3 linked regions of the Lonchura striata genome follow. The protein of the gene in region 1 interacts with the protein of each later gene in a pairwise test. Links are inferred from orthologs where the notes say so. Each region holds a gene or a part of one and is shown on either strand. Other genes may lie near its edges. The genes, in order: FAM118A, MOB3C and WDR4.

Evidence for each region.
Region 2: the proteins of FAM118A (region 1) and MOB3C interact in binary tests that used the Homo sapiens proteins (3 or more experiments, as listed by UniProt). The link is inferred for Lonchura striata from reciprocal best matches to the Homo sapiens genes FAM118A and MOB3C.
Region 3: the proteins of FAM118A (region 1) and WDR4 interact in binary tests that used the Homo sapiens proteins (3 or more experiments, as listed by UniProt). The two-hybrid records come from large-scale screens. The link is inferred for Lonchura striata from reciprocal best matches to the Homo sapiens genes FAM118A and WDR4.

The regions. Positions count from the first base shown.
Region 1 is NC_134607.1:5,729,105-5,736,512, reverse strand, and holds the start of FAM118A (protein FAM118A), read left to right. Parts: upstream 1-4,335; 5' UTR 4,336-4,358; intron 4,359-5,613; exon of another isoform or gene 5,614-5,867; intron 5,868-6,827; 5' UTR 6,828-6,836; coding exon 6,837-6,883; intron 6,884-7,408.
Region 2 is NC_134611.1:12,503,345-12,510,985, forward strand, and holds the start of MOB3C (MOB kinase activator 3C), read left to right. Parts: upstream 1-4,579; 5' UTR 4,580-4,592; intron 4,593-4,797; 5' UTR 4,798-4,885; intron 4,886-5,019; exon of another isoform or gene 5,020-5,203; 5' UTR 5,204-5,254; intron 5,255-5,706; exon of another isoform or gene 5,707-5,713; 5' UTR 5,714-5,871; intron 5,872-7,641. UniProt on the Homo sapiens protein: May regulate the activity of kinases.
Region 3 is NC_134604.1:112,210,597-112,218,435, forward strand, and holds the start of WDR4 (tRNA (guanine-N(7)-)-methyltransferase non-catalytic subunit WDR4), read left to right. Parts: upstream 1-4,751; coding exon 4,752-4,873; intron 4,874-6,650; coding exon 6,651-6,713; intron 6,714-7,486; coding exon 7,487-7,633; intron 7,634-7,839. Other genes in the region: NDUFV3 (NADH dehydrogenase [ubiquinone] flavoprotein 3, mitochondrial), read right to left, coding at 303-1,256, 4,450-4,516, 4,604-4,654. UniProt on the Homo sapiens protein: Non-catalytic component of the METTL1-WDR4 methyltransferase complex required for the formation of N(7)-methylguanine in a subset of RNA species, such as tRNAs, mRNAs and microRNAs (miRNAs).

The sequences.
Region 1 (7,408 bases):
GAACTATTTAAGCTGCAGGAGAGATCACATTAGCAAACTGTGTTTTGGCAAAACAAAGGTTTGTTTACTGGAAAATGGATGAGGCTTGGCCATTCCATAGCTTTATTCTGCAGCTGCACAGTGCCCATCAGCACACTGAGTGCCACAGCCAGAGTGACTGAGCATCACTGTGCAGGTCACAGGTTCCTGTCCTCAGGTCTTCCTTGGGCTGCAGTTTCAGAGAATTCCAACATCTTCACCTCTGTCTCTGCACTGCATTCTGCACTCATGTGCTGGCTCCCTCTCCTATAAGCTCTCAGTTTCTTGATCTGTAGCTGTGCTCTAAGCTTGTTAAAGTTCATGCCTGGGTAGAAGAAGGAGCCACCGCACCACAAAAAAGCCACCAAGCAGGAGAAAATCCATCTTATTATTTAATACCACGGCTGATCTGTTCTAACAGAACAGAGTAACACCTCTACTTTTGTTCCTCCTTCATACAGTTTTTATTTATGAAATTATTTTGGCCAACATTTTAAATTTCTGATTTCTGACAAACAAAAAGGAGCTTTTTGCCAGTTCATCAGCAAGTTCATACAATATTATTCCCAAAGTTCATTTCCCTGACCTAGTTAAGTTCTTTAACAATAACAACTTTTTCAAGCAGAATTTGAGTATTTGCAACTTCCTGTCTGGCTTTCTCTCTCCCCATTCTTTACAGTAGTATGTTTGATTTAAATCCATTCCTTCCAGGCTTCAGAATGTTTTATTTCCTTTTACCTTCTTTCTTGCTCTCTCTCTTTTTTTTTTTCCTCTTTTGTTTTGTTTTGCTCCCTTTTTCCATTGGAGTTCTGCCTCTCCACGGTGGTTTTCCTTACTTTCCCACTGCTGCACACATAGCTGCTGTTCAGAACACATAAGGACCTTGTGACAGAGCTTCTTTGTTGTTTTGTTTTGGTTTTTTTCTTTGGTCAGAAAAATGTGCAATACAAACTCTGATCGAAGGACACCCCACTTAGTTACACTCCCTAGTTTTTCAAAGCAAACTCATGAATTCAGACTTCTTTATAAACAAGTTCAAACTGAAGTCAAGGTCAGAAAGAGGGCAGTTAAGGAGCTTGTTTCCCCTCTCATTTACTCTTTTAATATGTGCTTTTTTTGCATGTGACTGTACTGAAATGATCACACTTTCAATGTTGCTAAAAGAAGGCAGGTGCAAAGTAACTCAAAACTTTATGGTAATTGCACTCTGTTATGTAAGAGGTTACTGTAGGGAGATCTGGTTGGTGCAGATGTCCTTAACACTTGGCAGCTTTAAAAATATACCTGCAGTTACATCCAGAGTGATTTTAACAGATCATGTCACTCTGCAGGGCATACACACAGTGCTGATGCAAGTCAAAGGTTATCTTTGAAAATTAATCTTTACTTCAATCATGGGTAAACCAACTGAACTGACACTGGCTTTTGAAAACATACTTTGAATTTCTGAAAGCATCTTTCTTCTTCACAGTATTTTATAAACGATTCAAAAATACCTAGAATTTACTATTTTATTCCAGGAATAAAATTTACAATTTTGTTGTGGTAAAACTATTCCAGTAAAATCCAGTCACCTCCAAGTTAGAAAAGAGTAATCCCCTAACAAGAAGGAACTGGCAGTCCCATTGTGCAAGAAATTTTATCTCAGTCAATAGGGACAGAGTGGATTCCTGCTGTGGAAAAAATAAGGCACATGTTAGTTGGTGTCTTAAAGGTACTTTTTAGCAAGCTCGATAAGCTTTCATTATGAGCTTTCCATGGTTTCTTTCAAACCAGCAGGTTCTGGCATAATTAGTCTTGGATTTACTTTATTGTAACTTCTCAAAGATGTCAAACATGTAATGTAATCAACACTACATCTCAGTTCATAGAACCACAGCTGAATAAGTGGATGCATTGCTACTTGCAGCCAAAACCAGCCAGCTGCATTTCTTAGCCTGATTACAGACTTTCAAGTGTTATTTCCAAAGCTGGCAACAAACCCCCAAACAAGCAACTGACTTGATGTGTTTAGTGCACTTAGACAAACAGATTTACTATGAGAGATAAATCTGAGGTTTAATCAAATGTTGAACTGGTGTAGTTGTTTCTTTTAACTGTGTGTTTTACCGCTCAGACATCCTTGATTGCCTTTCTTTGTTGCTTCTTGCAATAAACTCCTTCATTTTTCAAAGTTCACAGGCTTCAACTCACTTCAAAATTCTTTTTCACTGCGACTTTTGCTCCTGAGCTTTCTGCCACTTATAATAGTGCTGGCCTGTCACTGTCATTTTTAATTGCTCACATTTTAAAATAGTAACATGGAAATTAATGAACAATAATACATTGTTATTTCTTATTGTACATTTGGAAAAGTATCTAAGCCTCTTTTGATTGTACTTTATGTAGTTACTTTTGTACTGTGTATGGTTGGAAAATATTGGTATTCTTTGTCCTTAGTAACTTTCCAACTCCTTGCAGGTGAATCCAGAGCTTATGAAATGCACTTGCTAGGGTTTTAAAATAATAGTGCAGTTTAAGGATATGAAAGGAGCAAGGCTTAGAGGAAAAGGTAACAACACCAGATTAATTGATTCAGACTGAAAAATGGAAGTGCTTTCAAAGGCCTCCCTTCACAAAAATTTCCTCTTATATGTCTTTTTAAATGAATGTAAAGTGAAGAATATTAGGCATTGTAAACCTACAGGACGGGCCAGAAGTTGAGTCTCAAGCTCAGACAAATATTTAGCAAGTCTTTGTAATTCCTGTATACAACTGAAAAAATATTCTAGGATACACAACAAATTCCTTAGTGATACATTCCAGCATTAGTACAATATAGAGTCAAATAGCATTCCAAACTGGATTTCACACATAGTTGCTGTGTTTAGGGAGAAGAAAATCACCTAGTTCTTTTAAAACACAGTGTCTTTGACCTTGAGGTTTACAGAGCCTTCAATATCAGCACGTTGAATTTCCTTGCTGCCTGACCGGCAGCAGTGAAGGGTGAAAGGCAAAGAGCTGGAAATGCTGCAACTCAATCACATCTCAGTTTCCAGGTGAGGCTACTTGTATTCTTCCTTCTCCCTCCCTGTTCTCCCTGCTCCTACCCTCCATCTTCCTTGTCCTAGGAGTACAATTCTCCAAATACTTGTTAAGCCTTTATAGAGGCTGCAATATAGTAATACAAGAATAATTACAAAGCGAAAACAGTGTCTAGGGAATATAACACAGACAGTTCACAAGGACACAGTGTTCTTCCACAGATAGAAGGTCAGTGATTTCACAGTGGTCAACACAACTGTTCCTGCCAAAACACTGGATATGGAGTAAAAACTGTGCTTATGTGTCATCTTCAAAACTGCTTCAAAGGGCGGTGGGACTGCTGATGGAAAAAATGCTGCAACTTGAGCTAAATATTGTTAACTAAACACCAGAATAAACCATGCTGAAGGGCCTGGAAGTTTTTACATTGGAAGTTTTTTACACTCTGGCTTTAAGATATTAAAAGTTAAAAAAAATAAAACCAACCCAAGTGTGAAAAACACCAAAAACACCAATCACTTGGTTTTTAAAATTTTAAAAGCTTAATAATAATAATATGGTTATAAAAATAGTGATACTATTACAGCAACAAAATTTTAGAGTTAGGACAATTACAAGACAATAAAAAGCAATGCATCATGGACGTCTGGATGTTTTTGGACACTAAGCTGCCAAAACCATGCCTTGTGAACAGAGGAATAACCCTTAAAAGCAATAGCCTGTTGCATATTCATATATCTCATACATGATGTATAAATTCCTTGCAAATTAAGAATTTTATTCTGGTTTTTGTCAACTCCTGCTCCTTAAAACTGGTGGTTCCATAAAGAGGGAGAGAAGGTGAAGGAATGTTTTTTCTGATAAGGAAGCTATAAATCTTCAGGGTTCGTGTCGCTGTTATCTCTGTGCGAATAATTTCTTCATTATCTCATCTCTTTCTTGAGCTAGTTAAAAAGCATCTTACATAGCATAGTTTCTACTTTAACAGTATGTTATAACCTAAAAAAACATATTCAACACGTCGCTTGAGAGAATTAATACAGCACAACTATCTAACGTTACACACACAAGCATTCATCGCAACGTTTGCCAACAGCAAAATATGCGGTTTTCACACCAAAAAAAAAAAAAAAAACCAAACACCAAAAAACACCAAAAACAACATCAAAAAAATCAAACAAAAAATCACACACACAAAAAAAAAAAAAAAAGAAAAGGAAAAAGAAAAAGAAAAAAGAAAAAAGAAAAACCCCCACAGCATCACGCCTGACGCTGCCCCGCCCGCCCCCGCCGTGCCCTCAGCAGAGCCGTCCCAGGTAACGCTGCCGACCGCGCTTTTCAAAAATCTCGTTTTGTTTTGCATTTTCCCCGCCGCAATGTTTTTCCTCACCAGCACGTCCATCGCCAGCCCGTTTTCAGAGCGCTACCTGGTAAACCTGCGGGTTTCCAGGCGCCTTCTCCCGCAGCGCCGCCCCAGCCCCGTGCCGGGCGCTCCTGCCCTCAGGGCTTGCAGCGCCGCTCCCGGGCCGGGACCCGGGCACCCTCCCGGGGCTTCGAGCGGACCGGCCAGGCCAGGAGCGGCTCTGGCCGCAATCTGCCTTTCGGAGCTGCCGGAACCTCGGCGGCCAGGCGGCTGTTTCCCGGCGGCGGGAGCCTGGAGCCCGTCCGGGTCGCTGCCGGAAGCCGGCGGGGAACGGGGAGCGGCGGCGGTGCCGCCCGGTGACTGCTGCGGCTCGGCTCCGGCTCCCCGTCCTGCTCTGCTCGCGCTCCTGGTCCTGCTCCGGCTCCTGCCCTGCTCTGCTCCCGCTCCTGGTCCTGCTCCGGCTCCTGCCCTGCTCCGGCTCCTGCTCCTTCTTCTGTTCCTGCTGTGCTCCTGCTCCTTCTTCTGTTCCTGCTCTGCTCCTTCTTCTGTTCCTGCTCTGCTCCTTCTTCTGTTCCTGCTCCGGCTCCTGCCCTGCTCCGGCTCCTGCTCCTTCTTCTGTTCCTGCTGTGCTCCTGCTCCTTCTTCTGTTCCTGCTCTGCTCCTGCCCTGCTCCTGCTCTGCTCCTTCTTCTGTTCCTGCTCTGCTCCTGCTCTGCTCCTGCCCTGCTCCTTCTTCTGTTCCTCCTCTGCTCCTTCTTCTGTTCCTGCTCCGGCTCCTGCCCTGCTCCGGCTCCTGCTCCTTCTTCTGTTCCTGCTGTGCTCCTGCTCCTTCTTCTGTTCCTGCTGTGCTCCTGCCCTGCTCTGCTCCTGCTTCTTCTTCTGTTCCTGCTCTGCTCCTGCTCCTTCTTCTGTTCCTGCTCTGCTCCTGCCCTGCTCTGCTCCTGCTCCTTCTTCTGTTCCTGCTCTGCTCCTGCCCTGCTCCTGCCCTGCTCCTTCTTCTGTTCCTGCCGTGCTCCTGCTCCGCTCCCGCTCCTGTTCCTCCCCTGCTCTCGCTTCGTCGAGTCAGCCCGCTGACCTGGAGTTTCAGTCGGTGAATAGAGCTCTTATTTCGCCCGTAAAACCGGAGTGTGTTGAGCAGGACAGATGCGAGATTAGAAGTTTTTTGCCGTGTCCCCTCGTTGCGCTGGGAGTGAGGAGCCAGCTCCCATCGCCGGGCATCCCTGGGTCACGGCGGGCTCCCGCTGCCAGCCCTTGTTGGGAAGCAGCTGAGCAGAGCTGCGGGCAGCCCCGAGGATGCTCCGGAGCTGCTGGCCGTGCTCGGAGCACGGGGAGATCTGAGCTCCATCCTCCTCTGCGAGGAGCGGGGATCCCTCTGCCCTGCCCGGCTGCGCCTTCCAGGAGCGACTTCAGCAGCTCAAAGGAAGCAGCGAGGTCTGAAATGTTCGTATGGACAGCAGCCCGTGGTGAGATGTTCTTATTAAACGTGGGGAGGTGTAATTAATAAAGCTTTCATGAATGGTATTGTAAATGCAAGCGAACCCAATGGGAAGAAATTACGATGTCTGACTCAATTCATAGGGCTGAATTATTTCTTTATTATAACTGCTTGTTTCCAAATTACCCTCTAGCACATGAATGTGAGAGCTGGCAACTATCTTAGGAGCCCTAGGCTCTGGCACAATGTTTATTTGAGGGACTAGGGACTGCAGTTTGCCATCACCATCACCAAAAACTGTCTCAAAGCCAAACAAAAATTGCATCCTCATAAAAAATTAAATGTAACGAAATTTGGGGGTTTCTAAGTAATGATCCCAAAGCCAGTTCTCCTGGCAAGACAGAGTCTTTCTTGTACTTCAGACATAAGACATAATAGATGATACAGTAGTAAGTTATTTTTTTCTCAGCAAGTATTTTAAATAAAATCTCTCATACCCTGCAGTCCGGTCATGTAGCTAGGTGGCTCTCAGAAGGCTTTTTGTGAGCAGGTGGGATGTGGAAGTCTGGTTTTCCACAAACTGTATTGAATAAATTGATTCTTATGAAAAAAATAAAACCATGAAACTCATTAATTGACTTGAAATGACTTGTAGTTTTAAGTGTGATAAATTTTATCCTGAATTTAGGCACAAGTATTTTTTAGCTGCATGAACAGCTGCATCTCTATTACCTCTGTCCTATGGCATTTGGAAGCTTAACTGGAGTGTGCTGGGTTCGCACACTTGTCCTTTGGCAGGTTTGTTTCCATCACTGTCTTGCTTCACTGGGATGAATGACACATGGATGAGTGACACATGGAGCCTTGATATTACAACAGTTGGTAGGAATAAAGAGAAAAAAAAATCAACAGTAATAAATCTGATTTTGGTTTTGGCTTTTTCTAGGATAGAAGCAGTAAGAATTATTTTGCCTTTTGTTTTATTCAGGGCTCAGAGATGGATTCACCAGAAGGGGCCACCATTAGAAGTGAGCAAAAATTCAGGTAACTTGTATTAGAGTTGATACAGAACTGTCTCTTAATGAAAATCTGACACCACAGTGGAAATAAACTACTGAATATTGAATACAAGAGCAACATCATGCCAGAAAACATGAAATTATCCCAGAAGCTAGTTTCTTCCCTGACCAAGTACTTCATGCTCACTCAAGTTGTTTATGAGGAGGAAACAATTTGGGCTAAATGTACCAGGGAGGCATGGGGCCATCAAACATATTTTATTTGTAGGCACTAGCTGACAGCCATACCTACATGTTTATTGCTTTGCCTGAGGCCATTTCAAGTTGAACACTATAGTTTGATCCAAATAAAGTTTGGAATGATTGTGAAATAAGATGTGTTAATCATCTTTATTACCATGTTACCAGGAACTGAAAATCTGTAAAGGTAGTTTGGTAAGTCAAGAGGAGTTCTGAGTTTCTGTACTACTGAAATCTTTGTTTGTACAGAGTGATTTTGCTGTATGGTTTATATGCATTTTCACTTATTTGCTGAGTAAACATGAAAGAC
Region 2 (7,641 bases), on another chromosome or scaffold:
TTTGCCAGAGAAAGGGGGGAAAGAAGGATCTGCAGTTTGTCTCTCTGTAGGAGGGTGTGGCTGGTGTCAATTTTCTTCATTAACCACAACCTGATAAGAAGCTGTGATGAGTTATGAAGGTTTCTTACAGCATCTTTTTGCTGTGTAGTTGTAGGAGCCCGTTGCTGTAATGCCCACTGTCACGCTGTAATTCTCAGCCCCTTCTTTGCATTACATGACCTTTGAAAGTCCCTTCCAACCCAGCCCATTCTCTGATTTTATGACATGAACACTTCAGCTGAGCACTAAAGCTACACAGTGCAGTTTTTTTGTTGAGCTCTGTTTTACCACCAACTCTTAGGTGTGAAGTCCTGTCCATTTAGGAATGGCAGAGGATGTTTCTAGAAGAGGCAGAGCTTCTCTTGGGGCCTGGCTGAGAGGAGATGTCCTTGGTCCCTGGTAATGTCTTTTGGCTACTGTTCACTGAGTGTGTGCAGAGCAGGTGAATAATGAATCATGGGAGGCTTGCATAGAACTGTGATAATCTGAACAGCAAATCACCTTTATTAAAAGGCATTTCTACTTCTGGTTTATGGCCTTCATGCTCCATTTATCATTTTTCCTTAGCTGATAGAAGGGCTGTTTTGATTAATAATTCACTTCCTACTTTGAAAAAGTCAAAGTTGCTGCATTCATTTTTAATCTAGCTATAATGTAACATCCCCGAGAGTGAAATATAAGGCTTCCAAATCTACACCTCAGCCTCTTTCTGAGCATAAAAGATCAAATTCTCAGGTATAAGGCTGTAGTGATCTACCTGTAGTTTTGAGTGGTGTTTTTTTCCTAAACCCATCATGTAATTTTTTTCCTAAAATAAGAACTTCTCCAGGGTTTTAAAAAAGGCAGAAATGGCCAGTGACGAGCTTAAAACTGGGATGATAAAAAGGTCCAGCAGAATCTAATCCTCTGTCCCACTGAATGACTGCTGCAACGAGGAGTAACCCAGCTGAAGAACTGGCCCTACAAGCCACCCTTGCTGCAGAAACCAGCGGTGATGTGTGGCTTCTCCAGTGCCTGGGATGCATTTGTGCATGAGCTGTGCTGCCTGGCACAGCCATGGCACAGGCTGACCATGGGCATGGATGGGCACTACAAGCTGCAGAGTGGACACAGACCCCCGGGGCTGTCTGGCTTTGTGCAAATCAGCAGCTGCACCTGTTTTAACCCACTAAAAAGTCACATAGAATTTGTAAGATTTGATGCCCTTAGGATCTGTGCTGATCATGGGGAGAGAGGTAACAGAGGGAGAAGGTGGCTGTGGGATTCATGTGCCATCCAGCCACTAGAGGGAAGGGTTGTCTCCTGATTCTGAGCTCTGGGCACACACACAGCTTGTTTCGGCCTGTCTGCTCAGTTTCGTAAACTTTGTGAGTTGTGTGCCGAGAACCATACAGATGCTCAGGCTGCTTCTGTATGGTCCATAACGAGCTGGGCTGCGCTGAGTTCAGCTCACGGTTCCACCAGACCCATGTCCTAGATCCTACCTGAGCTGCCTCGGGAGGGCAAACATTCTGCAGTAGTTTCGCAGCATGTTTTGCTGATTGCCAGTCTTTTTTGGGCCAGCACCATCCCAAGATGGATGTGGCTGGTTTTACTAGCCGTCAAATGGGCACGTTCAGGGCGAAGAAGCCCAAGACTCCCAGTGGCCCCGTGTAAGCTTCAGCCCCTGCAGCATCCTGCAGCGAGGTGCTGTAGGAGCCCCCTCAGTGCTGTGGTCTGTCTCCAGCTGGAGGAGAGCCCAGGATGGGATGTGGCAGGAATTCCTGCTGGGAGTGGTGGTGCAAGTTTTGCAGGCAAAGGCTCATTGTTACCAGCATCCCAAACCTCTGGCTTGCCTACCTGCCCCCATCACCCTGGGGAGATAAAGCCAGAGTCAGTACGGCTCCCAAGGGAGGAGGTGGCAGTCAAAGCAATCAAGGAAGTGCAGATTGATAGATTAAGTTCTTACCCTCCCTTAAAATGATGACTCCAGTGCTTTTTCATCTGTGCCTGGCTTTTTTCCCTGTGCCTTAGAAAATGGCAAGACTCCAGTGCCCTCTGACCCACGGCTGTTCTCACTCCCTTTCTCTGAGTTTGCGCAGGACATGGTGGAGCAGAGCAGAGCAGGGGAACTGACTGTTCCCAACGCTGCATAGCTGTTTTCTGGACACGTCCTGTTTCTCTCTGGGAATAACCAGAGCAAACCCACTGCTGCCTTTGCTTTGTCTTCTGGTCTGCACAGGCATTCACAGCCTTCCAGCCCAGTCTGGGAACAAGCATCTCCCCAGCTGCTGGAGCGGCAGTGCCCATGAGGTGCCGTGCAGGGCATTGTGTGAGAGCCCAGCGCAGCGGTGGGGCTGGCAGGGGCTCCCCCTCCGTGTCCTGACGAGCCTCGCAAAGCTGCTTCACTGCCCTGGGCCCCTTCCCGTGCCTGCCCCTGAGCTCCGCTGGAGCCGCCAGTGCTCCGGGCTCGCTTCCGCCCTGCTTCCTTCCCCGGATAAATCCAGCCATGCACCTGCCTTCAGGAGCGAGGCCAGCATTCCCCTCTTCCTTCCTCCAGGGAAGACAAATGCCCTCGTCACAATAACACATCCCTCCTTCCCCAAAGCTGTTCCTCATACCTTTTCCTCTCTCCCAAGGGACTCCTGCTTCCCCTCCCCACAGCTGGGATACTGGGTAGCTCTGGGACTGGGCTTTTTGAGGTTTCCAAAACCTCACGTGAGGGAGCAAGTCCCTGAGCAGGAGGTGCTGCTCACCCCTGTGGACTTGTGGGGCTGCAGCTGATGTAACTCCAGCCCTCCTGCTGCTTTCCTGGCCCCTCTCTTTTGGCTCCAGACTGCTGAGGGTGGGAGGACCCCATCTTGCATGGATTTTGGCTCCATCTTGCCTGGATGTAAATCCTGGCTATGAGTTGCCTTTGGGATCTTTGCTATTCAGCCAAGCCCCCTTACTTTTGGATTTCTTCCCATTTTCTGCAGTGATTTCAGCTGAAAGTTTCCTCCTGGCTTGGCATTTGCTGTTGGGAGTTACATCTACTTCACAGACCTCCACTTCCCGCTCACAAGGTCTCAGGGCATTTTGTTGTTTCCTGCATCCCAAGTCCCCAGGATGGAGGACAGCAGCATTGCTCAGCCCTTGCTGGGACTTGGGGTGGCTGTAATGAGCATCCAGCACTGGGGATGAGAAAAGACTTTGCCTGAACCTGCTGGAGTCAGGAATGTGGCTGGTTTGGTGGTAACCAGGAAGAGTCTGCTGGATTACTTGAGCTTGATCCTGATTTTAGGGATGTTACTTGGACCTGAGGCTACCTGCAATGGCTGTGAGAAATTCACTCATGAGCAGGACAAGGCTGGTGTGGAAAAGGCTCAGCCTGCAGGTCCAGGGAGGATGCACACACAGAGCTGAGCTCTGAGGTTATGGCTGTTGTACTGGCTTAGCTGGTGACAGTGGTGGTGGGAAGCAGCTGGACAGATGAATTTCACAGCTTGTGCTTCCCTCCTGCCTCAAGAGCTGTGCAGGGCACTTAACCTCACGGTTTTACCTTTTCTACAAATATGAGACACCTCAGCCATCTCATGCTGTAGTGGATGCAGAGCACAGAATCCTGCATGTCCTTGGTGTGTCCTTCTCCTGTCACCTGGTTCAGGACCTGGCCCTCAGCCATGTCCCAAGTGGGGACAGGCAGAAAAGCAAGGGGCTTCTCGGGTGTGCAAGCTCCAACTCCTTTCAGCTCCAGTCAAAACTGATCCACCAATGGCTGCTGCCCAAATAAATGGGCCCTACAGTGCCAAAGAGTTCCTATTGTACCTGCACCAAACCAACCTCACAGAGAAAGGGAGGAAAGGAGAGTAAATGCCTTGCAGGGCTGGGCTGAACTCCCTTGTAGCTGGCTGGTCTGGGAGGCTGCTGGATCAATTTATTTTTAAAGACTGCCTCTGAACATTGTGCCTTAAAAGCAAACCCTGGCATCACCTGCAGCTGAGAAGCTGTGTTCTGGGGGAAGGAGTCTGGATCCTGCAGAGATGCATCCTGCTGCCAGGCAGGGTTCAGGGACTCAGCCCCTCATCCTGAACCCTCCAGCTTTATGCCAACGTGTCCATCAGCCACATCCTGCTTGCCCTGTGCCGCACTCCCCAGCTCGCCCCATCACCTGCAAACGCTTGGCTTGACCCGGGTTTAACACGCGTGTACGAAAGACTAGAAACGTTTCCCTCACTAGAACTGTCCTGCTGCCAAACAATTTGCAGACGTTTCACTAAGGCCAGAGCATCACACATGTCATCCCCTGGGAGCGACACGTCACCGAGCCAGGAAGGGACCGTGAGTGACAGGGCCACGCTCTGCCTCCGCCTGCTGCGACACCCGCCGGCATCCCCCGTGGGGTGCACGCCGGTGTTCCAGCCCCACCCGGGACTCCGACCCCAGAGCACATCCCGGCTCCTGCCAAGCCATCCCACGCTGGCTGGCCGCTCCTGCCGGCGCCGAGCGTGCTGGCTCGGGCTTGCCTTTGCTGAGCAGGATTTAAATACCGCAGCGCGCTTCAGAACTCACCCCACCTCCGACAGAAACGGAAAGTAAGTGCTCTGGGCAGAGAAAGTTTTTCTCTTTCTTTTCCTTTCTCCGGCATTTCTGTTTTGGATGGCATCCAGCTTAGCCTGGCATGGAAACCCCCGGCTGTTTTTGTGGGTGTGCAGAGCGGGGAAGGATAAAGGGAGAGGGACTGTGAAAAGATGGGGGGAGGAGGGGAAAAGACTCCGGGATTTCATCTCCTTTCCCCAGCTCCCCGCTGTCCTGTGAAAGCCGGAGCCAGCCAGCGGCACGGGACTGCACGCCAAGAAGGATCTCAGCATCCAGGAATGGAGCGTGGGTGCGGGTGTGAGTGAGTGCCCACCCAGGAGCCTGCGAGCCACGGCGGCCGATGGTGGGGGCTGGCAGGCCCGCTTCCAGGCGGGTTTTCCAGGGACAGCTGGAGCTGCCGGCAGGGTCAGGATGTGACATCACTGACCGGAGAAAAACCCTCGGCCCCGGCTTCTCTAACGAAACCCCCGTGAGCGCTGGAGCGAGGCAGTTCTCCCTGCCGCTCTTGCTGCTGCCATCTCCAAACTGACAATAGTCCCGACAGAGAGCCTGGCTTGGACTTTGTATCTTTTAAATTTTATTTTTCCTTTTTCCTGAATAAGAGCAGAGAGTGCAGAGGAGGGATTTGAGACTGGAAGCCACCGTGCCGGGGGATGAGGTGAGTCCTGGGGGGTAAAAAGCCAGCACCGCACTCCTGAGGATGCTCCTGGGGTGCTTTTAAGCGCGGGACGGGCAAGACCTGGGTTGGCATTAGCCTAGAAAAGAGCAATTCTTCACCCAGCCGGGCCATGGACGCCTGCAGAAGGCTCTTCCCCTTCCTCTGGGGCGTCCCGGCTCAGCAGCCAGTGTGTAAATACCAGAGATCCCCTGTTCGGGGGGTAGGGATCCGTGCGAATGACCGGCGGTGCGCAGGGAAAGGGAAAGGGGGTCCCTCCGGGCAGGGAAGGGGGACAGGCAGGGGAAGGCAGCACACGCGTTTCCCGAACGGGACAGCGCCCGCAGCGGCTTCGCCGGTGTCGGAGGGAAGGTGGAAAGTTGTGGGCGGAGGGACTGGGTGAGAACAAGCGGTGGAGATGGGTTTTCTTATCTCCTCTCGCCTTCTTCCTTGAGCTCGCAGGCCTGGAGCACCCGGTGTTTGGAATTATGGCCTGACAACAGAGTAATCACCCTTGGGACTGAATCAGAGCTCTTGGACACCACTGAGGCCATTGGACACTTCAGGGCTCGCAGCAAGTTACTGCTAGTAGCAGTGAGGTCTCAGCTCCCAGGAATGAGGTACCCCCAAAAAGCCCCCAGCCCCTCTGGATATCATGGCTAAAATGAAAAGGACATGCTGCCTCTAACCTGGAGAGATGCTGCTTTGCTTTTCTGCTTGGGTGTGTCTTGTGTGATACAGGAAAACCTTTTTTGTTGCCTTTGGGCCAGAGCTGCTGCTGTGCTGGTGGTGTGGCAGGGAGGCAGGGCAAGGAGCAGGACAGAGCAGGGGGACAGCAGGGGACATCTGTAGGGCGGGTGTGAGCAGTCCCGTTCCTGGAAGCCATCTGGGTCCATTTCTCACGAGCTGGGGATTTCCAAGCACCATGTGAGTTGGGGGAAGCTCCAGCACAGCTTCCCGCTGGCAGCTGGCCCCAGCTGGAGTGTCGGAGCCTGAGTCCTGCTCTGCTCCAGGGATTTGTGCTCATGGATGCTCTCAAGGGTCTCTGCGGCACCAGGGGAGTTTGTACAAGGAAGGTTTGGCAGGGAGATTCTGCTGAGAGCCCAGGGCTTCTCTGAAGCTCCCCCAGCCTATGTGCTGGTTCTTGATCCCCCTCCCAGCATTTTGTCTTGGCTCATTTCCTGGAATTTTCTATCGTTTAGGTTATATTTGGGATGAGCAGCCAACAACCCCGTTTCTCACGGACAGCCCAGCTGGGGCTTGGCTCCAGCAAGAGGCACAGAGGGAGTGGGGCCAGTGCCCCAGACTCTGCTCCCCAGCACCCTCCTTCTGCAGCCCCCCTTCCTTAGATTATTACAAGGCTGGAAAGGCTTATAAAAAGAGGGAATATGCTGCCTTCCCTGGAAACACCATTTGCCCACAGTCCCTCCCTGGCTCAGGGCTGCAGTGTCTGCAGTTCAGGGTTGCCTGGGAGAAGTCTTTGGGACATGAATCCCAAGAAGCAGCCCTGGTTGCAGAGATGCTCTAGGACAGGCTGAAGACCAAACTGCATCTGGACTTATTTGGGGCTTGAAGAGAAGCTCAGAGACAGGGCTACTGACTCCTCAGCCACGCAGTGAGGCTTCCTAGTGCAGTGAAAAGCCAGCTGGGGCCTGCAGGTTTCTGGGCAGACTGTCCATCTGGTGGCTGGCTGGCTGTCTCAGGGCTCTGGCACATGGGGCTGAGCTGATGCTGTCCTTCTCCTCCATCTGGGATAGGGCTGGGTGGGACTTTGACAGTGCCTGTGGTGGGGAGAAGGGAATCCCCTAAAACACAGAGACAGTAAATATCTGGGTGCCCCAAAGGCAAGATTCCCTGGGGAAGCCCAAGGGGGATGTGCAGAGCTGGTAGTAATTAACCTACACTTTGCTCTAATGTGCCTGAAGCTGGACAGGTCTGTGCTCTGCCTCCTTGGCCTCTTCCCAAAGCAGTGGGAGCTGGAGTCTCTCTGCAGGTTGCCCACAGTGCTGTACCCCTCGTTGTGCTCCCCAGTGGTCACACTGCCCACGAGGCTTGGAGTGTGCTGCTAATGCAGCAGTTTCCAGGCAGATGCTTCTGTCTCGGGATGGATCCAGGGAAGATGCACTTGGCACTGGAGCATGGGAGGTGCTGGTGCCAGAGCTTTCCTCTCTCCTTATCCTTCATGGTTGTTAGTCCTTCCCAGACACCTTTTCCCCTGAAGCCTTTGCTGTTGCAGCCCATAAAGGGAGCCCGGGCAGGGAGATCAGTTTTAAAATTTGGGACACTGATGCAGGGAGCAGGACTGTGAGCATCACTCTGGAGTCTGGCAGTGCATCTGTCTGATCCTTCCTGCTGGTTTTCTAACTAAAGCTTATTTGGGGTCAAAGCCA
Region 3 (7,839 bases), on another chromosome or scaffold:
GTGTTGTCATATAAAACTCATGATTTTGCTCACAGTGGAAACAATCTTGTTTCCATTTTATAAGTAACTGTTTTATGAAACTATAAATACAGAGAAATGAAACCACTTCCTTTCATAGCATAGCTGGAGATTGAGTATTACTGACAGATTATAACAATTAGCAACGAACAATTTATCTTCCAGAAAGTCACTGCCACTCTGCCAGCTTCAGTACAAAGATCAGAGAAGATGTGGAAACCCTTTAAAAATGTCAAACCCTAGCCCAGATGAATTAATACTGTTCAAACAATTTAAAGCTGTACCCTCAATTGTGCTGCTTTCTCCAGCCTGGACTTCTGATTCCTGCATGGTCTCCTCCCTTGCTGTGGTGCCCATCGCCAACACTGTGCTTCCAGAAATCTCTTCCACTTTAGGAGAAGTTACTTGTTTTGCTTCCAACTCTTGTGCCTCCTTCATCTTTTCCTTCGCTCCTCTGGATAGCAGATCTTGCTTTTTATCTTCCTGAGTCACTGCTGAGGCTTTCAGCTGAATAGCTGCTACCTGGGTTCCAATGGACTTTTCCTCCACATGATCAGATTTACGAGCGACCTCTGTCAGGTTCAGACTTTTCAGCACATGTGGTTCTAACACCAACTTCCGTTCTTTTGGAGGGGATTTTACTTTGGGGTCTCTTGCTTTGGATTTTGATGTTTCCTGGCTGACTGATGTTTTAGAAAATTTGACCTGCTTCACAGGAGACACATTAATTTCTGGTTTGCGTGGCAGCTTCTTAATTCCGTATTCTTTGAGGGATTTCTGGGACAATTTCTCTTTTGCCAGCATTGATGCCTTTACTGCTATGTTCTCAGAAAAGATGGCATCTCGTCTGGGAAACTCAACTTTAGTTTTAACAGCAACTTGTGAATCATCAACATTTTCATCCTCTGAATCTGAGCTAGAATCTGACTCTGAGCTGGATGAAGTCTGTTCCTCAGCTAACTCTTTCCTCAGGCCTCTTCCTGCTGCAGGTGTGGTGAGTTTTTCCTCCTCATGGGAGGAAGCAACTCCTCCTCGCTGAGGAAACGCAACCTCAGTTTTTCTTGATATGGGCATCCTTGTGTCTTCAGCAGGCTTTGCAGCTTCCTTGAGGGTGGTACTAGAAATGCTCTCACCTTTGTCTGCAGACAGCAGGAGAGAGCTAGAAGACAACATTTTACGAAATTCAACTGGTGCCTTCATGGCAAGCAGCTTGGTGCTTCCCTGTGGTGCCACTACATCTAGGAAACGGCATAAAGAGGATTATCATCATTGTATCTGACATCACTATTACTGATCTTAGTCAAACAGTTTTAACTTTCTAAGATAATCTGGTACAAAAATAAACTAAAAGCAATTATAATGCTAAATACAGGCATTGCAAAGCAGGAAGTTTTTAGACTTTTTAAGTAAAAGGAGCTGGAGTTCTACTAGCACATAACAGTTTTTGCTGCTGCAATGCTGAAACTCAAGAGATAAACCCTTATGTTCCTCACTTTGCCAGACCCCTCCAAGAGCTGGTTTTCCCTGTGCTTCAACTCTGCAGCACTGGAAAAGGTCTGCAGACACTTTCCTGTCTCAGGTGAGCATCAGGATGGCTTGTCAGCCAAGCTTTTCAAGTGCTGCTGCAGTGTCAACACTGGTCTGTGAACAAGCAGAAGCAGAGACACAGTAAAGAGCCACAGCTGCTTGCAAGAGTTATCCTGGAAGGCGAAGGGAGGGATGACTCCCAAAAGGAAAAGCAGCAGAATAAGAGATACCTGAGGCCATCCAAGTATTTATTACTTGTTCACTGCCCACATGAGCTGCTAGCTGAGGTGTGCCCCCAGAGCTCAACACTATTTCCCCAAGACCTCATCTCCTCCAGGCTTCACTTCCTATTTTGTTCAAGACCTCTTTGTTAAAGAGGTCTTAGAAGATCTCCTGATGCTTCACATTTGTTTCTCAGTTTCTTCTCCCTCGTGGACACCTGCATTAAGCTAAACTCTCCAGACAAGGAACCAACAGTTGAAGGAGAAGGCAGCAATTTTCAGGTCCTTCCAGGGAATACATAATATCCCTTGGGTGCTTATTATCATCCTCAGGAGGCTGAGCAACAGCAAATACTGTTGTGGTTACAGAAAACAGGATGTCAAGGAGGACTGGAAGCACATTAAGAAGATTCACCATGGCTGAAATTTGCTATATCAAAGCCAACTCCATTACAAGTTGCATCACTTCCAACCAGCAGTAAAATTCAACAGATTTCCAGCCCATTATACAGATTTTTCTGCAAAGTTTGGAAATCCAGATCTACTTTATATGCCCATAAACTAAATTCAGCTCACTGGTATTTTATGGTAATACCTTGTATGATTTAAGGAGTTATTACCATTAGTTCTGAACAGAAGCAAGTCTTTAGCAATGTCTAAATGAAAACATCACAGAAGAGACAAGCACACGAAAACAAAAGCAAAGTATTTAAGGAAGAAACACAGAGTTTTTATCACAACAAAATACAATGAAAAAAAAATGTATCAAGTTCACAAGTAGTATTTTGAATAATTTCAAGCACATACTTCTCTCTGCCAGATGGAAGGTGCAGGATGGGAAGGAAGGGCAGGGGGAGGCAGGAGGATGGGCAGCCACCTTTGGAAGAGGTCTGACTCCCTGCACAGACTGACCCAGCCAAACAGCAGCCTGGAGAAACTAACACGTGAGGAAGTGTCAGGATGGAAGAGCTCTTCAGAGAGGCACAGCAGAGGTTAAACTAACACAAGAATGGCCAAAGGGAGCATAGACAAGGGAAAGCTGAGCAAAACCTGAAGAAGTATTAATGTTAAAACATCCTAAGAAATCAAGAAGGCAGGGAAAATTCAACTTGTCCATTAGTTACTGGAATAATATTTTAAACAGTTAAGTTTGGATAAGTGAAAAAGATAGATATTATGATTAAAAGCTGAAACATCCAATACAACTGATCCACTTTAATTAGGGTATTTCAAACTTTGCACCAGCTAATCTGTACCTGCATCACTTTGCCAAAAGAACACCACCTCCAAATCAAGAAACACCATTCCCAGATGTGTTCTTCCTGATGCTTGGAACATCAGCATCATTCCCAGCATGTATTTAAAGGCTGATCACACTCAGAGAGGTGACAGGCAGAAATTACAGGCCTATTTCCCATCATTGGCTCTGTATGTAAACACGACCACTTTATCAAAGCAAGGAGAATTTGCACATCCTGTTCCAGGCAGAATCTGGCAAAGGCACTGCACCCTATAAATCTTAATTAACCTGGGGTGTTTGCAGCTGGCCTAAAAGGGCTTCTGAGACAAATCAGAGCTGCAGGACAGTGAACCCAGAAACTGATACTAAAGTGCATCTCAAATACACTTAATGTAAAAAAATAAATCATAATAAAAAGCAACTTGCTGTTCAATCAATCTATGCAGTGAAAGCTTCCTCAGCCAGGTTTTATTTGCTTTGGCATTTAAGAAGGTGGCAAAAGTCTGACTTCAACTGCTCTTTCAGTGATCTTTTCAACAGCAGTCAACAAATCTGATGGTTCCTACATATGGTTCCATGGAGCTTTCCTGTTTCAGCACCTGGATCTCTAATTTGGGACAGGAAACCTCACTGAACCACTAAGCCTCCATTTATACAAACAAGACATCAATCTCTGAAATTTATATTGCCTTTGGTCAGGGGTAAATGGGGTTCAAATACTCCTCAATGCGGGATGCAGGGCAGCATCCAAACCCAGGCTTGCAGATCTATGGGGCAAGAAGCATTATTACCAAATTTAACACACAGGGCCATGGCAGCTTCTTACACTGCTGCCTGGAGCTGCTATTTGGGATATTTGGATTTTGGAAGTCCTTCTCTATCTCAGTCCTTCTATTTTTTAATCCTGATAACACAAACGTTTCAAAAGACAAGGTGAACATCTAAAGTTAAGAATTATATTTTGCACGTCATTAAGAACATTTCCAAGGATGGGACATCCACAGCTTCTCTGAGCAATCTGTGCCAGGGCCTCACCACCCTCGCAGTAAACAATTTTTTCCTGATATCTGATCTAACCCTAATTTCTTTCAGTTTGAAGCCATTCGCCCTCCTACAGGTTGAACAGCTGAGTTATGCAGCCCGGCCTTGAATATTAACATGAAGGAACACAGGAAAGAAGTGACAAGTTCATAAATATAAAACTATGTATGTATATATGTGTATATATGACTTATAAATATAACGCACACAGCCAGACCTTTACTTTTATTACTACAAGGTACATTTTATCAGAAACTCTCGTTTACATGGCGATGACCTTTCAGTCCTTGCTTTTCTCAGCTTATGCAGCGCCTCTTGCGAGGCCTGACTCTTCGCCATCTCCCCTGCCCCATTCCTTTTACTGACACCCCGACACCCTTCACACCCAAACCACCCTCTTACTCTTTGGCGGCGCCGTCCCGGTGCCCACCGGCTTCGTGCAGAGCCCCCTCGCCTCCAACTGCAACACCTGCAATAAAAGAGTTAACACAGCGGGAGGAAACCCCTACAGCGGAGGGCGTGCGGGAGCAGGAAGCCCCCGGAGGAGCCCCTTTACCTCGCGGCTCAGCGCCCTCCCGCCGCCCCTCAGCGCCGCGGCCGCCGCCATCTTGCCCGGAGCCCTCAGGGCGCCCCCGCGGGCTGGCGGTGGGCGGTGACGTCACGCGGCGACGCCACGCGGTGACGTCACGCGGCGGCGCGGGCGCATGGCGGGCGGCGATGGCGGCGGGCGCAGCCCCGGGGCCCGCCCGGCGCTGGCGCTGCGCGGGGCCGCGGCCGTGGCGAGCGCCGGGGGGCGGCTGCTGGCGGCGCGGCCGGGCCACAGCGGGTCAGTGCGGGGCGTGCGGGGCCGGGGCGCTGCGGGTCAGTGCGCGGCACGGCGGGCCCGAGCGGCGGAGGCCGCCTGGCGCCTCCTGAGGGGGCTCGCAGGGCCCCGTGTGGGGTGAGGGGAGGTGCTGGGGCAGCGAGGGAGCCGCCGGCCCTGCGCAGGTTCGTGCCTTTCCCAGCGCCGTGTCCGCGTGTTCTGGGACGGAAATGCCACTTTGCAACTTTGTAGCCTTGCCGGTTTTCTGTCACGGTTGTGCTCCCCCAGTTGGGCTATATATAGCATAGAGAATATATATCGATATATGCACACTATATATATAAAATATAAATAATATATATACAATATTTTATATAGTGTATATTATATATATTATATATTTTTAAATATATTTTTTATATTTTTTATATATTTTATATATATACACTCCATATTTATGTAAGCACACATATATACGTATATGTTATATCTATGTATATGTTATATCTATGTATATGCTATATACATGCATATATGTTATATACATACATGTGTTTTATATCTATAACAGTCTATATGTATACATATCTTATGGAAAACATAGGTATATATATAGCATATATATGTATATATGTAATGTGTATATAGCACATGTATTACATGTATATGTCTAACATGCATAAAACTGTAAATGCCTAGAGTGTATACAAGATTATTTTATATATATATATATATATATATGTATATAAATACATATGTATACAAATACGTATAAATGCCTAGAATGTATACTACATATATATATACACACACATATGTAATAATGGTCTATTTTATGTCCATAAGGAAGGTGCATATAAATATCTCCAAGGTGGTTGCCAAATGGATGGTGCCAGGCTCTTTGCATCTCCTGTTGCCCAGTGGCAGGATGAGGAGCAATGGCCATAAAATAAAACACAAGAAGTTCCACCTCAACACAAGGAAGAATTTCTTTCCATGGAGGTGGCAGAGCTCTGGAACAACTGGCCAGGGGGGGAGTGGAGTCTCCCTCTCTGGTAACATTCCAGAGCCATCTGGACACGTTCCTGTGTCACTGTTCCAGGGGAGCTTTCCTGGGCAGGGAGTTGGACTGGGTGATCTCCAGAGGTCTTTTCCAACCTGAATGATGCTGAAGTTCTGTGTGGTGTCTGAAGGGAGATGTCAGAGCATGGGCCAGGCTCTGCTCCGTGGTGCCCAGCAGTGGACAAGAGGCAAGGGACAAAACTGATGCCCTGGAAGTTCCACCTGAGCATGAGGAAGAACTTTTTTATTGTGCAGTGACTGAGCACTGGATCAGATTGTGCAGTGAGGGTGTGGAGTCTCCCTCTCCAGAGATACTCCAGAACTGTCTGGGCACAGTCCTGTGCTGTGTGCTCTGGGGTGACCCTCCTCAAGCAGGGAGGTTGGACCAGCTGACCCACTGTAGTCCCATCCAATCTCACCAGTCCTGTGATTCTGTGACTGGGTAAATGCTACTGACAGATTTGCTGAGAGTGACAGAAATAAAATTTATGCAAAATACAGGGTTACTGCACCAGCAGGGAAGAATTTCCTTTTTGACATGTCACAGTCCAAAATTTTAAGCCTTTGCCACATCTGTAGCACTCTGGGAGACCACTTGGGTAGAGGTGGTTCTCAAGATGGGAGGCAGTTGTGCCCAATAACTAAAATAAGAGAATCCTACTAAACAGTTGCTATTTTCCATAGGTAAAGCTGCTGGTTGTTCTAGTGCAGTAATTTTAGGTTTGTTTTTCCCTTGCAGTGATGAGAGTCTCTTCGTGTATGATTGCAGCAGTGCAGAGAAGCAACCCTTAGGAGAGAAAGGGTGAGAAAATCTGCTCTTTTCCTGGAGGGTGCATCTCTGAGCTTGTGTGGCTGTGGAGGCAGCCAAAAACCCACAGGATGACTCCTTGAGCAGGTGAAGGGTTGGTTTTGCTAACCCTGATGGTTATGTATGGATCTGGTTTTTGTTTCTGTTTCATCCAGAGTTTCATTCCACTGTGCACCTTTCTTCTCTTTTTTTTCTAAAAAAAAAAAAATAGCAGTGGCAAAATCAAAATCAGTAATTCTGTCTCTTGTCAGTCAAGACATTTGTGGAAAAGTCCTGCATTCTTTGTTAGACATCTAAGACCAATAATATCCACAAAGTTCTTAAATAAGTTCTTCTCCAGATCTGTTCTGTAAGTCATGAGAATTCAAAACACACACACAAAAAAGTGTTTTTCATAGATTAGATTCAACCACTGGATATTGTTTTACTTGTAGCCAAACAGGAAACATTTTACTGGTTTCCTCATAGAGAAATAACTTATAATTTTTATATATATTTATACCTCATATATATGTTTATACTTCATAATTTATATCAAGATGTGCCAGCACAAACTTTTGTTTTCTAAACAGGCTTTGACCTGTCAATTTCCTTTGTCTTGGCTTATTTTTTTGCACTAATGTCTGGGTTGGTTCAACATTCTAAGCAGAAATAAAACTGTTTAAAGTTTACTTTGTTCTTTATGCTCCTGGGTGGTTTGGGAACAACTCCCTGAGGGAATTTAGTAGCTATCAGGTTGTGAACTGTTGGTTCCTTCTCTCTATTAGGCAGGATGGAAAAGGGACAGATAAAGGAAGTGATGACATCCTGGCCTTTGCCTTCTCCCCATCAGGAGGTTATTTTGCCTTGACAGATGACAACAAACGCCTGATTCTGTTCCGTACAAAGCCTTCCTGGGAATGTGTTAGTGTCAGGTAAGGAAGCAGGATGGTGCATGCTGTTATGGACTTCTGCATTTACAGATCTAAAATGGGAGTATTTGGGATGTTGATATTTGTTACTACTTAGCTTCCTTTCTTTTTTTTTTTTTTTTTTAATTCCCTCGCTCAAACAAATTCAGTGTTTAGGGAATTCAGAGTATTTGTCAAGGATTGATGTGTGGCCTTCCCATCACCGAGAA